Linked DNA regions of Rattus norvegicus. The protein of the gene in region 1 binds, or shares a complex with, the protein of each later gene. Links are inferred from orthologs where the notes say so. Each region holds a gene or a part of one and is shown in the gene's direction. Other genes may lie near its edges. The genes, in order: Cdk4, Ccnd3 and Ccnd1.

Region 1 (4,634 bases):
GCCCCATAAAACAGGCAATAAAATGGTTTCAGTCTGGGTGTGGTGGCTCAGATCTGGAATCCAAGCGTTTGGACATTGGAGAGTCTAAGGCCAGCCTGGGCTACATGTCAAGACCCAGTCTCAAAAAAAAAAAAATACAGAGAAAGGAAAAGAGAGAAATGAAAAAGAGCGTGTTACATGCATGCCTTTACACTTAGTTCTTGGGAGATGGAGCAGGAGGGTCAAGTATTTGAGTACATGTCCATTTTAAGACCAACCTGGGCTATATGAGACCTTGTTTCATTAAAACAAAACAGTAAAAACAGCCAAAGTAGTTGCTCATGTCTGTAAAAACAGCATTTAGAGGCTATGGCACCAAGATTGCTATTGAGACCAGCCTCCTCAGCTATAGTGTCTCAAATATGATTTGAGAGTTTAAAGTTCAGGAATATAGCTCAGTGACTGAACCAATTCTTACTACATATAAAAACACTGACTCCAATCCTCGGCACCAAAAATAGGTCTAGATTTTAGCAATTCTTCACAGTTGGGAACATGGTCTTTTATCCTCATGCTCCTAATTGATGGGAGACAATAAAGGAGTTGGAGCCAACCAAATCGTCACACAGATCTACCTCTATCTGACTAGATTTCTGTAGGCAGACCATTTAGGAAACGCTGATCAGGGCAAGGGTACGTTCTAAGCAGGACTGGGGAAAAAAAGGAATGTGACCCCTATGAGGAGTCACAGGTTTGCAGAGGGACACAAGTCATATTCCAGCAATGTGGTGGTGACTGCCCTTGGATGTGCTCACCCTGTTGTCTGTTCATGCAATCACATATATATATAGCAATCTTAGTGTAAAGACACTTGTAAGATCAAGAACCCTTATTTCCAATAACTTCTTGCTGCTTTTAATATTCCTGGGGAGGTTTACAAGTTGGGAAGAAGGAGGGCATTACATTGTCGCCCCCCATACAGCGGCTTACTATGTTAATCTTCTTCTATCCATCTTTTAGTTTCCTCCTCGGATAGAAATTGTCTACTCCCTGTTTTTATAAGACCACGGTTGCCTTATTAGCTATCTTTATCATCACTTCAAAGGGCGGAGTGACTGAGACACCAAAACAAAAACATCGCATACCAACTGGAAGGAAGCACTTAGTAAAATTTTGTTGAATGAATGAGTAAAATGAAGACACAAATACGAATGTTTCCCCATGGCGGTGGAGTGGAAATGTTACAGCACCATCTCTGGCACCAGGATCTCCCACTAGCACCTCGACCTCCCGCCCACATAGAGACGCGTAGTGAGACTGAAGATGCTCTCAGGCTCGGCCTTGAGCTGAGCGTTGAGAGCTGGTTGGCCCGGTTGCCATGGCACCGCCTTGTGCCCCACCCTCTCTCGCCCCCACACACCCCCTCCGCAGTCAGGGTTTGGCAGCCGGTCACGTGCCACACAGCGTAACCACACCTCCGCTTCTCAGCGCAAAGTAAAGGGGTCACGTGGGATAGCAACAGGTCACGTGGCAGTACAGGTCCCGCCCTCTTCCCCCACCACACCCCTCCCATCAAAGGGGCCCCGGTCGCCGAGTGCGCATGGGTGGAGGTCACGTGTCCAGAACGTCCGCCGTCGGCCCCGCCTCCCGGGTTTCCGCGCGCCTCTCTGGCAGCTGGTCACATGGTGAGGGTGGGGGTGAGGGGGCCTCTCTAGCTCGCGGCCTGTGTCTATGGTCTGGCCCGAAGCGTCCAGCTGCCCGGGACCGATCCCCGGTGTATGGCGCCGCAGGAAACGGCTCCCGGGCCCAGATAAAGGGCCACCTCCGCAGCTCTTGGCCGAGCGTAAGGTGAGTGCAACCCTTTCCAGAAGCGGGGGGCCAGTCCCCACGAGCACTAGCACCCTCCAGCTCCCCACGCGTGCGCGTCGCTGGCTGAGTATGGAAGGTGGCCCAATGGCGGGAAGTGGGGCCTTTGTGGTCGTGGGCGAGGGTGTGATTTCAGAGAGTGAAGCGCAGACTGTTCCATGCAAGCCCTGTGCACTGTGATCTTCTTTGTGCCGGGCGCAATGGTCCTCCGAAAGAAAAGAAAGCATTCTTTTCTTCCTCCAGGACAAAACGTGGCTGGAAGAGGGTTTGTTGGAAGTCTTTGTGTTACCTAAGGAGCGCGGGCCCTGGATGTGTGGAGGGTGGGATGCTGGTGATAATGTTGGTGAGGTCTTGTGCAGGAGTTTCTTTGTTACTGCCGGGTCATCTCCTCCTAACTGTGAGAGAGAGCTTGGTATTAGAAGCCTCTGTGATTGTAGATCCCCTGCTCCGAGAATGGCTACCACTCGATATGAACCCGTGGCTGAAATTGGTGTCGGTGCCTATGGGACGGTGTACAAAGCCCGAGATCCCCACAGTGGCCACTTTGTGGCTCTCAAGAGTGTGAGAGTTCCTAATGGAGGAGCAGCTGGAGGGGGCCTTCCCGTCAGCACAGTTCGTGAGGTGGCCTTGTTAAGAAGGCTGGAGGCCTTTGAACATCCCAATGTTGTACGGTGAGAAGGTTGGATTGGGAGTGGGGCGGAGAGGACAATAGGACCCGTTAGTCAGGAGTGGGACCCTAGAACGCCAGAGGCCATGTTGAAACAAAGGGGATGGCCAGCTCCTGACCATTTGTTCTTCTCAGGCTGATGGATGTCTGTGCTACTTCCCGAACTGATCGGGACATCAAGGTCACCTTAGTGTTTGAGCATATAGACCAGGACCTACGGACATACCTGGACAAAGCACCTCCGCCGGGCTTGCCTGTTGAGACCATTAAGGTGAGTGGAGGGGTGGGTGGAGGTGGATTGATATGTGCAGTAGAACTTGTTGGGATTTTGGACACAGTGATACATAGTTTCCACAGTTCTCTGCTTCTTTCTTCAAAACCAGGATCTGATGCGCCAGTTTCTAAGCGGCCTAGATTTCCTTCATGCAAACTGCATTGTTCACCGGGACCTGAAGCCAGAGAACATTCTAGTGACAAGTAATGGGACAGTTAAGCTGGCCGACTTTGGCCTAGCCAGAATCTACAGCTACCAGATGGCCCTCACGCCTGTGGTCAGTAAGACAGTAGCCGGAATAGGTTGGGATTCGGGGTAGGGCTTGGTGGTTTCCCAAAGCGACTAAGGAGTCTTGTACTTGAAGTTTTCAGAGCCAAACAGTTGTTTACGAGGACAACACTCACTTATTTCTCCTATTCTCTTTAGGTTGTTACGCTCTGGTACCGGGCTCCTGAAGTTCTTCTGCAGTCTACATATGCAACGCCTGTGGATATGTGGAGTGTTGGCTGTATCTTCGCAGAGATGTTTCGCCGGAAGTATGGGACTAGAAACATTTGTTTTGTTTGCCATGGGACAGGGTTTTTCTGTGTAGCGCTGGCTACACAGAAACGAGATCAGGCAGGCCTTGAACTCTTGCCTCTGCCTCCAGAGTGCAGGAATTAAAGGCATGTACCACCACTGCCTGGCTGGGACTTGAAACTCTTAAGCCACCTTCAGTTCCACAGATCTTTTGCTGCTCTCTCACGGTGCTAGAGGTTGGAATCAGGACTCACGTACACTCAGCCATGCCTCTATTTCTTTTTCTTTTTCTTTTTCTTTTCTTTTTTTTTTTTTTTTTTTTTTTCAGAGCTGGGGACTGAACCCAGGGCCTTGCGCTTGCTAGGCAAGCGCTCTACCACTGAGCTAAATCCCCAACCCCTCAGCCATGCCTCTGTACCACTAAACTAAACACTCTGCCCCAGGTCTTTTACAGACTTATCTGTTCTTGACCATTCTTGTGCATGTACAGTGCAGGATACCCAACCTGGGGTTTCCATAGGCATGGTCCCCTGCCATCCAGCCATAGTCCCAGCCTACCCAGTTCATACCAATCACCTTGCCTAGAAAAGAAACCACATGGGCAAATCTGAAATGCCCTGGATTTAGTAACTTCCTGTTCCTTAGCTCCACACTCTAGTTTGGTCCACTTAACGGTTACTCCGGTTTTTAAAAGAATGTACTTTGACTATCTTTCTACCTTAGGCCTCTCTTCTGTGGGAACTCTGAGGCTGACCAGCTGGGCAAAATCTTTGAGTAAGTATCCACTAAGGAAAAGGAAAGGAACATTCCATAGCAACTGGCTGGGAAGGGGCCCCTCCTGACAGTTGTCCTGTCCCTACAGTCTCATTGGATTGCCTCCAGAAGACGACTGGCCTCGAGAGGTCTCTCTTCCTCGAGGAGCCTTTTCCCCCAGAGGACCTCGGCCAGTGCAGTCAGTGGTGCCGGAGATGGAGGAATCTGGAGCGCAGTTGCTGCTGGTACTGGGCCTGAGCAGGGATTGGGTTAAGACAAGACACGGCATGGCCTGGGAAGCTGGCTCAGTGGGTAGAGCTCCTTTGCATAAGTACTGAGGACCTGAGTTCAAATCCCCAGAATCCACGTAGAAGTCAGGTGCTTCTGTAGTGCCATTCTTGTGGCGAGATGGACAGATCCCCTGGTAAGACAGCAGTGCTGGACTTTGTAAAAGATGGAGGGCAACGACCAGCAGCCCAGACTGCTGAGCTCCACACATAAACACCGGCTTGTGCGTACCCACATTTCCACACATGAGCAAGTGCACACAAAGACAAAACAGAACCTTAGGGGCCC
Region 2 (4,489 bases), on another chromosome or scaffold:
CATGTAGACCAGGCTGGCTTTGAACTTAAAGGAATTTGCTTGCCTCTGTCTCCAAAGTGCTGGGATTAAAAGGGTGCTCTTCCTCCCTTCCTTTCTTTTGAGTCCCCTGGTATGGATCTGGCCGGACTGGAATTCTCCACGGGCCTCCTACCTTCTCCCAAGCATTTGATTACAGGCATGTGCCATCATGCCCAAATCTGCAATACGCTGATCTGTTATTGTTATTGTTTTGTTCAGAGACAGGGTCTCATTCTATAGTCCAGGCTGGTCTGGAAACTTACCATCGTTCTGTCAGCTCTGAAGTCCTGGTATAAGAAGCATAGGCTATTGTTATTTGGTGTGGTTGCTTTTTGCTTTTGAGATAGAATCTTATGTAGCCCAGGCTGGTCCTGAACTCATTAGGAAGCCAACAGTGACCTTAATCTTTTGATCATTTCTAGGTTCTACAGTGCTGGGGATCGAACCCTGGGCTCTACAACCTCAGCTACATCTGCAGCAGTTTCTCTGTCTCTGTCTCTGTGTGTGTATGTGAGAGAGACAGAGAGAGACAGAGACAGAGAGAGACAGAGAGACAGAGACTGTCAGTTTCATGAAGTCAGGCTGGCCTTGAAGTGCCTGTATAGTGGATCATGGCATTAGCCAGGTTATGAGATTACAGATTTGCACCACCACATCCAGCTCCAAATGGCTTTTAATATGACCAACACTGCTCATACCTCCCCTGGAGCAATGCAGTGTCCCATTCAGCAGACCTGAGAAACTGCATTTCTTCTTTTACTTTTTTTTTTTTTTTAAATTGTGTGTGTGCATGCGGGGGCGTGTGTACATGCTACAGCAATCGTGTGGAAGTTAGAGGACAACTTATGGGAGTCGCTTTCTTTTCTTCCACCATGTGGGTCCCAGGGACCATACTCAGATTGTCAGACTTAGTGCGGGGATGGTTTACCCTGAGACACTGAATCGGTCGGAAACTACATTTCCGCTCAGCTCCCTCCTGCTGCTGCTGCTGCTGCTGCTGCTGCTGCTGCTGCTGCTGCTGCTGCTGCTGCTGCAGCAGATCTGCGGAATTCGTTGAAGTAGACTAGGTTCTAAGCCACGTTTCCCGACAGACTAACAATGAGATCTTTGCAGCTACTACTGTGCTTCTATCTGCAAAGTAAAGCCCAACTCAAGTCCATTCCTAGAACCCACTTGAGGGGAAGAGTGACCCAACTACGTACGCAGTTATTACCACATTCCCTAGAGCATTGAAATAGGACGCATACGCGAACGAATAACTTTTGGCGACTAGTTCTTTCTTGGGTGGCTAGAGTCGCGACAGGGCCCATTGATGGGGAAGAGGGCACCCTCCCAGAAAGTTCTCTCCACCCTCTTGGTCAGAAGGGACCCGAGGGCCCGGAAGCCTGCGGGCCGGAGCCCAGCGGACCAATGGGGCTCCGGGGAGGGAGGGAGGGTATAGCGCCCGCCAGCCCTTTCCGTCTGCGGTCCCGCCCCTTAGAACGTTGTGACGTCGGAGCATTCCACGGTTGCTACATCGTCGCGAGGGGCGGGGCGCCTGTCAGGGAAGCGGTGCGCGCGGGTGGCGGGCGGGCTGGGGCTTCTCCGCACAGTGCCAGCGCCAGCGCCAGACCCGCCCGCACCCCGCGCTCTCACTCACACGCGTCGCTTCTCCTAGGACTCGCTAGCCCGCACTCCTGCTCTCACCCGTGAGCCATAGCAGGATGGAGCTGCTGTGTTGCGAGGGCACCCGGCACGCGCCCCGGGCCGGGCCCGACCCGCGGCTACTGGGGGACCAGCGTGTCCTGCAGAGTTTGCTCCGCTTGGAGGAGCGCTACGTGCCGCGAGCCTCCTACTTCCAGTGCGTGCAAAAGGAGATCAAGCCGCACATGCGGAAGATGCTGGCGTACTGGATGCTGGAGGTAAGGCCCGGACGGGTCCCCTCTCCTCACCCCACCCCCACCCCCGGCTCTGGGCAAATTGAACTTTCCCTGTTCGTGCTTCCCGATCCCGACCACAATCTGCAAGATGCTTTGACGGCCCAGACTTACAGGGGCCTGGCCTTTTCACACAGGCACCCTAACCAGCTGCCTGCGTTCTGTCCCTTTCCTTTCCCCAACCCTGATCGGCTTCTTCTGTGACTGCCAGCCACTTGGCACTGTAACTAAGCTTCACTTTGGGTCGGGAAAGCGGGCTAAGGGCCACTTTTTCCCCAGTGGCTTTTCTCGGTGTCTCCTGCTTCCTTCCTCACCCCGTGCTCTCTGGAGAGCGCGTTTGGAAAACCTTGGGCTCGGCCGCCTTCGCCCCAGAACTGGTTCCTGTGTCTGTCGCGGGGTTCTGTCGGGGGGGAAACTGGTGGGTGGGGGTGGCGCGGGCTCGGTTCCGGTCCACAGGGAAATGAAAAGTGCGGGAGACCGCGGCAGGAGTTCCCTCCCTTCCCCCTGGGAGTGTGTGTGCAGTGGGTGGCGGTAATGAGGGTAAGGTCCCAATTCTCTCTAGGTGACCCTTACGTCCCCCTTCCGCTCGCCGTGGGGGAGGGGAGTCTGGAATCTTTCGTGAGCATGGGCTTCTCTGTTTTACACCCCCTACTCCGGGGTAGGGAGGAGATCATGCAGAGGAAGTGGGGGGGTCACCTTGGGGAGGGCACATCCTCCTCGGTTATTGATACTTGTCGTTCTAAGTTTATCCCTTCTTGGTTTATTTTTTGCTCCACATTCCACTCTCCCTCCGCCCCCCCCCCCCGCTGCCGCCCATGCTGCCGTGTTTCACTTGGTCCTTCCCTAGCAATGACTCGTGCGCCCTCCCTCAGGTGTGTGAGGAGCAGCGCTGCGAGGAGGATGTCTTCCCTCTGGCTATGAACTACCTGGATCGCTACCTGTCCTGCGTCCCCACCCGAAAGGCGCAACTGCAGCTTCTAGGTACCGTCTGCCTGTTGCTGGCCTCCAAGCTGCGCGAAACCACGCCCCTGACTATTGAGAAGCTCTGCATCTATACGGACCAAGCTGTGGCTCCCTGGCAGTTGCGGGTGCGTGCAGAATCCCTCCCCCCCCAAAAAACAACAACAACAACAACAACAACATACTATCGCCTATGTACTAGTAAAAGAAACACCAAGCTCACCCCCTCACTCACCAACCCTCCCTTCCCTCCTGCCTGATATTTTGGAAAAGAACTAGGGTGGGACAAAGGCCGTGTAGTGTAGTAGTCATGCTTCAGCTGCAAGCTTAAAACTAAATGAACCCCTTTCCTCTGACTGCAGTGGAGTTCCAATCCTAACTCGTTTTCCCCCCAGATAGCAACAAGTCCAATTGCGGGTCTATACACCAGTACTTTGCCTCTGGGTTTACACAGCCACCCTGAGTTATTTATTGGCAACAGCAGGGTATGTCTGCACACCCCCACCGGAGTGGAATGTGCTTCACGTGGGGGAGGGGGCTGCCTTGCAGGAGTCTTTATCCCCGTGTGGACTTTGTGATGGAAAAGCCTCCCGGAGCTGATTAAAGCCAGGCCCTGATTGCTGGAAGGAAGCACCGAGGTGTTTTCATCCCTTTGCCTCCTATCCCCAAAGACACAGCCCCTTCCTAACCCTCCCTTTCTTGTCTTCCTTCTGAAAAACTGGAGCAGCTGCTCTGGGCCAGTGGAAGAGTTTCTCCCTTTGCTGCTCAGCCAAAGGCCAGAGCTGAGACAGACAGGGAGCTGAGCTGCAGCTGCTTCCGATGTGATAATGATGCTGGTCCCCTTGGCCCTCCCACTCAGACCAAGGGCTTTCATAACCCTGTGGGGAGCTGCTGTCACTCCTGTGGTTTGGGAAGTGGCTCCTTGGGGCCTCTTGCTGGGAACTTGGGCTGGGCTCCTCCAGGCGGGGCAAAAATCGGTTGGGTTCTGCCCTGCCCCGGAGGAGTCTAGGGAGGAGGTGGGAGATCTGCTTGAATCTGGAAGAGAGCATGAACGTCCTCTCCCATAGGGTCTGGGGGAGAGGGTGGGTGAGCTGGCACCTCCCTCCACCTTGTTCTGTGGCTGGCCAGGCCTTCTCTGACCCTGAGAGGAGTCTCTGGGCCCCATCTCCTAGGGAGGAGGGCAGCAGGCAGACTACTGTGATTGGCTGGCTGGGAAGCTAGGGTACTGGGGCCCCTGACTGCTGTGAGTCGGGGAACTGGATTCCTCTTCCTGTCAAGCAACTCTCACGGATGGGAGGCCTGAGTTGGGAATCCGGGAGGCCCCACAGTTCTTTGTGATGAATCTAGTAGTTTCCAGAGCCAGGGAGCAAGATGTTTTTTTGAGGGATTGAGGCTGGGAGGTAGGAGACTTTACTCTTTGTGAAGAGATTAGGGTGGTCTACATGGCTGTGTGTGAGGGGAGTTTTTCAGAATAGGCAAGCCCTTCTCCTGCTCAAGGCCCTGAGCTGTGAGTGGCCTGCGGTCAGAGTTGTGAGGGACTCCAAGAACTCCAGCAGTCTCAATCCGCACAGCGGAGCAGAGGCCCCAGAAAGGAG
Region 3 (4,482 bases), on another chromosome or scaffold:
ATTTTATGAATGAAAAGGCAGCCGGGCGGCCCTCGTGCTTAGGCTAAGGCTCCCAGGCTTGGCGGGGCCTGTGGCCAGAGCAAGCGTGGGCGCTCTGCCCGGGCCACCCACCACCTTCGGAGCTACAGTGGAATCACTGTCCCGAAGGATCCGGACTTCAGGGACCCCAATGTCGGGGGAGGGAGGGCAAGAGGAATGAGCTCGGAAAGTGAGGGGTTTGTGTCTTGCGTGCCGCCTAGACGCCTTGCGCTCCCTTACCAGTTTCTTCGGGGACACGAAAGTATTCCGGGGAGAATATGTGAATAGTTCGCCTAACTTGGGGTCGGATACTGTGAAAACGTTCCCAAAACTAGGGAAATAAGTAATAGACCAAGGTGGTGGAACCTCTTCATTCTAAAAATATTTGACTATAAATTTAAAATAGGCTTAGGGATCCATTCTGGTATCCACGAGTATCTATAGAATGTCTTTAAATATCACCTTATCGGCTCACACATTTATCTTGATTCTCACCAGTCCCCACCCCCAAACTCTGTAAGGCTGCCCCAGCTGCAATTCTAAAGGTGGGGGAACACAAAACACACCCCCAACGAAGCCAATCGGGAAGCTTCCGGTGGTCTGGTTCCTGGAAGGGCAACTAATACTTGCAGCGATTTACTTTTCTTAATTAAAAAATAAATTACACAAAGAGCCTATCGTGTCTCAACCTTTCCTTCAAAGATTTATTTTTCTCCGGCAGTGGAGGAGGGGGATACCAGAGGACCCTGGCCAGGATAAACCGGTCACTGTAAGAAGGCAAATCTCAGACCCCATCCCCACCCCCACCCCACCCCCAGCGAGGAGGAATAGATGAAGGAAATAATGGCCACCATCTTGAGCTGTTGCTGAGATTTTCGGGGTTTTATTTTATTTTATTTTTGAGCGAGTACATGCCAGGCTGGGGACCCTTTAAAGCTCAAAGATACCCCTCTGGCCCTTTGCAACCACCCCAGTGCGCCAGGAGGGAGCCTGCACGAGAACTTAGGGCTCGTCTGGCATCTTCGCCTGTTACACAGTTCCTGAATTTTACACGTGTTGATGAAATTGAAAGAAGTCGAGGACGACGGGATTTCTTAGCAATCGGTCCGCCCGTGGGTGCCCTCGTGGCGTCCTCGGAAACGCGCCCATTCTCTCCGCTTAAGTATAGGGTGTCCTTGCACCCCCCACGATCCCCTTCCATACATTCTTTCTTGGCTTGCGTGTGGCCTGGCCTCCCTCCTAGCTGTCCCCCTGTCCAGAGCCGCCGCTACCCCACCTTCACAGGTCTCGGAGGACCCACTTGGGGAAAGAAGCCCCCCTCCCCATTGCCCTTGCCCCGCTCTTTCCCAGCTTAGAGAGAAGCAGTCCCGGCGATTTGCATATCTACGAAGGCCGAGGGGGGAGGGGGCAGGCTTTGGGTTTGTCCCCCCCCACCCCCGCCGCTCACTGCTCCCGAGCCCCCTCCCCCTGCGCCCGCCTCGGCCCGCCCCCCCTCCTTTTTCTCTGCCCGGCTTTGATCTCTGCTTAACAACAGTAACGTCACTCGGACTACAGGGGAGTTTTGTTGAAGTTGCAAAGTCCTGCAGCCTCCAGAGGGCTGTTGGCGCAGTAGCAGAGAGCTGCAGACTCCGCGCGCTCCGGAGACCGGTCGTAGAGCGCGAGGCAGCGCGCGTCAGCAGCAGACACCGGAGCCCAACCCGGACCACAGCCCTCCCCAGGCGGCCGCGCCATGGAACACCAGCTCCTGTGCTGCGAAGTGGAGACCATCCGCCGCGCGTACCCTGACACCAATCTCCTCAACGACCGGGTGCTGCGAGCCATGCTTAAGACTGAGGAGACCTGCGCGCCCTCCGTTTCTTACTTCAAGTGCGTGCAGAGGGAGATTGTGCCATCCATGCGGAAAATCGTGGCCACCTGGATGCTAGAGGTGAGAAACTACAGGCTGCTAGCTTGGGACCCCCTGGCAACTTGTTGCTATCACCGACATCTTCTTCCCTTCTCTTCCTTTCCGTCACGGATTTTTCCCGGTGTGTTGCTAGGACTCGGGATTCACAAAATAAATAGACACTTTCGGGTCCTTTTGAACGGGAAAGGTTTAGGAGTTGGGGCGATAGGAATTTCTTTTCCTGGTGGGGGGGGGCAGTCGGGGAGGGGTGCCTTCCAGGGAGGACCGTGTCAGAGACACCACAGAGGATGCAGGCTGAGCTTCTTCTGTGGCCCCCGCTTGTGCCCCATTCCTGCAGCGCCTCAGCGGGGGCCGCCCCTGCGCGTAGCGCCAGCTAAGGGGGGAGGGGGCATAGATTTGATTTTTAAATTAATATCCATGGACACGTATGCAAGGGCCGCTCGTGCCAATATTATGCGCCATCTTTGCTCCTTTATTGCAAAGCAAAAGTGTTTATTAATAATTGGGGGCAGGGCGGAGAGTGGCAGAAGGGGCGCTGGGACGGGCACGAGGGGCCTCGTGGCGGCCGGGAGTCACTAAATAGGACACTGTGAGGAATATTTGGGGGTGGGAGACTCTTTGTTCAAACAACGGACCCCTGGGCACCCCGCACACGCTGCCTGGCCCAGAGAAAACGCTAGACTGCAAGGTCGCGTGGCCCCCTAGTCACCGAGATTGACTGTTGTCCGTGCGGGTCTGCATTTGGGGGAACCTGTCTGGGTCAAGCCGGGGGACCAAAGCACATTTTCAGTTGTTCAACAGGAGGCTCAAGGGTTCCAAAATATTTTAAAATAATTTTTAAAGTGAGTTATAATGCCCTTGCAGAGGCAAACAGCGCCCGCACCCAGCAAAAGGGGGGCCCCCGAAGTTTGAGTTGCTGGGACTTATCCCCCAATGTCCACCGAGCTCCTGACCCTCGGCTTGGATCAAGGGTAGCCCTATTGTTATTTTCAGGCCGTTTTTAGGCACCTAGTTATTTTTTAAATATTTTTAAATATTTTTTGAAAAGATGACGTCTGGGAAATGCAGCGCGGCGGCCTGGGACGCCACCTTTGTGTCTCGCGTGCGCTTGAGCGGTGCCCAGCCCCCGGCGCTCCGCCAACCCTACGGTGGGCTTCCCTGCCTTGTGGCTTCCTAATTTCAACGGGGACGGGGGTCTCCGTGGCCACCACTGCCTCGATCCGCCGCGCCAGCTGCCCAAGGACTTTCCCTTTCAGTTTCATGATGGGTGGGTACTGGGAACCCGCAGGGCTAGAGCGCATCCCCCGGAATTGGCCACCGGAATCCCTCTGTGCAATCTATAAAAAGGGTGCGGGGTCACATCGAGCGACACCCCCCTCCCCCGTTGACGGTCAGGGTCCGGGTTCCCGCAGGTCTGCGAGGAGCAGAAGTGCGAAGAGGAGGTCTTCCCGCTGGCCATGAACTACCTGGACCGTTTCTTGTCTCTGGAGCCCCTGAAGAAGAGCCGCCTGCAGCTTCTGGGGGCCACCTGCATGTTCGTGGCCTCTAAGATGAAGGAGACCATTCCCCTGACTGCCGAGAAGTTGTGCATCTACACTGACAACTCTATCCGCCCCGAGGAGTTGCTGGTAACTGCTTAACCCACCACCCGTAATCCTCCATTAGCTGCTCGATCCCTGAGTGGTGGGAGATTTAAGGGGCAGGAGGTCCAGCCATCCATGGACAAATCTCCTGCCCCATGGATGGCACCCACACTGCATGACACCGAAGTGGCAGTGGGCAGAGAATCCCAACCCCATTCTACCTCTGTGCCCGCCCCCTTTCCGGACTCCCCACCGAGTCTGCGGTGGAACAGCTCTGAACTGTAGGCGGTGTGCGCCCCCTAGCGACGCCCGGGCCGCAGCGCTGGCCGTGGGAGGTCTTTTTGTCCATAGCTTGTCTGTCCCTTCAGACTTTCTACAGGCACATTTTGTTGTTTACCTATATGGGGTCCCAGGATGTCCCCACTCTTTTTTTCTTTTTTTTTCCTTTTTTCTTTTTTTTCGGAGCTGGGGACCGAACCCAGGGCTACCTCTGAGCTAAATCCCCAACCCCCGGATGTCCCCACTCTTAAGACCTTCTTGAATCAGCCTGCCTTTCTTTTGACCGAGTTCCTCATTCTCTGCAGCAAATGGAACTGCTTCTGGTGAACAAGCTCAAATGGAACCTGGCCGCCATGACTCCCCACGATTTCATCGAACACTTCCTCTCCAAAATGCCAGAGGCGGATGAGAACAAGCAGATCATCCGCAAACATGCACAGACCTTTGTGGCCCTCTGTGCCACAGGTAGGGCCCCGCCCTGACTCTTCCCGGGCACATCTGACTCCTTGCAGTTCCCAGGCTAATGCCTCATTCCTTGCTATCTGCTCTGAGCCCGGGGTGCAGGCAGCTTGTTGGAGATAGGTGATACTAGGTGGCACCGTCTTGGCTAGTGCCTTGGAGACCTAACAGAATGGCCCGGCCTCCCTGTGCCAACCTTTCCACTGCCAGGAAGTGGTATAACCACTGCATGCTTTC

Evidence for each region.
Region 2: the proteins of Cdk4 (region 1) and Ccnd3 are in contact, whole or in part, in a crystal structure (PDB 7SJ3), measured with the Homo sapiens proteins. The link is inferred for Rattus norvegicus from reciprocal best matches to the Homo sapiens genes CDK4 and CCND3. Residues at the interface, in NP_000066.1 of Homo sapiens: Gly46, Gly47, Gly48, Leu49, Ile51, Thr53, Val54, Arg55, Val57, Ala58, Leu59, Arg61, Arg62, Glu64, Ala65, Phe66, Val77, Ala79, Val89, Asp129, His132, Ala133, Asn134, Cys135, Arg163, Ile164, Tyr165, Ser166, Tyr167, Gln168; in NP_001751.1 of Homo sapiens: His11, Pro13, Arg14, Ala15, Gly16, Pro17, Asp18, Arg20, Leu21, Arg26, Val27, Ser30, Leu31, Arg33, Leu34, Arg37, Tyr38, Glu74, Lys112, Leu113, Arg114, Glu115, Thr116, Pro118, Ile121, Glu122, Pro134, Arg138, Glu141, Val142.
Region 3: the proteins of Cdk4 (region 1) and Ccnd1 are in contact, whole or in part, in a crystal structure (PDB 2W96), measured with the Homo sapiens proteins. The link is inferred for Rattus norvegicus from reciprocal best matches to the Homo sapiens genes CDK4 and CCND1. Residues at the interface, in NP_000066.1 of Homo sapiens: Gly45, Gly48, Leu49, Ile51, Thr53, Val54, Arg55, Val57, Ala58, Leu59, Arg61, Arg62, Ala65, Phe66, Asp76, Val77, Cys78, Ala79, Arg82, Ile87, Val89, Asp129, His132, Ala133, Asn134, Cys135, Ser285, Phe287, Arg288; in NP_444284.1 of Homo sapiens: Leu6, Cys7, Cys8, Glu9, Val10, Thr12, Ile13, Ala30, Lys33, Ala34, Thr37, Phe108, Lys112, Met113, Glu115, Pro118, Leu119, Thr120, Ala121, Leu138, Gln139, Glu141, Leu142, Val145, Asn146, Lys149, Trp150, Asn151, Leu152, Ala153.

Annotation. Positions count from the first base shown.
Region 1 is NC_086025.1:64,769,767-64,774,400, forward strand, and holds the start of Cdk4 (cyclin-dependent kinase 4), read left to right. Parts: upstream 1-1,686; 5' UTR 1,687-1,827; intron 1,828-2,282; 5' UTR 2,283-2,298; coding exon 2,299-2,516; intron 2,517-2,647; coding exon 2,648-2,783; intron 2,784-2,895; coding exon 2,896-3,063; intron 3,064-3,212; coding exon 3,213-3,322; intron 3,323-4,028; coding exon 4,029-4,079; intron 4,080-4,167; coding exon 4,168-4,303; intron 4,304-4,634.
Region 2 is NC_086027.1:20,894,944-20,899,432, reverse strand, and holds the start of Ccnd3 (G1/S-specific cyclin-D3), read left to right. Parts: upstream 1-1,557; 5' UTR 1,558-1,721; coding exon 1,722-1,919; intron 1,920-2,806; coding exon 2,807-3,022; intron 3,023-4,489. UniProt on the Homo sapiens protein: Regulatory component of the cyclin D3-CDK4 (DC) complex that phosphorylates and inhibits members of the retinoblastoma (RB) protein family including RB1 and regulates the cell-cycle during G(1)/S transition.
Region 3 is NC_086019.1:209,524,951-209,529,432, reverse strand, and holds the start of Ccnd1 (G1/S-specific cyclin-D1), read left to right. Parts: upstream 1-1,622; 5' UTR 1,623-1,747; coding exon 1,748-1,945; intron 1,946-3,336; coding exon 3,337-3,552; intron 3,553-4,091; coding exon 4,092-4,251; intron 4,252-4,482. UniProt on the Homo sapiens protein: Regulatory component of the cyclin D1-CDK4 (DC) complex that phosphorylates and inhibits members of the retinoblastoma (RB) protein family including RB1 and regulates the cell-cycle during G(1)/S transition.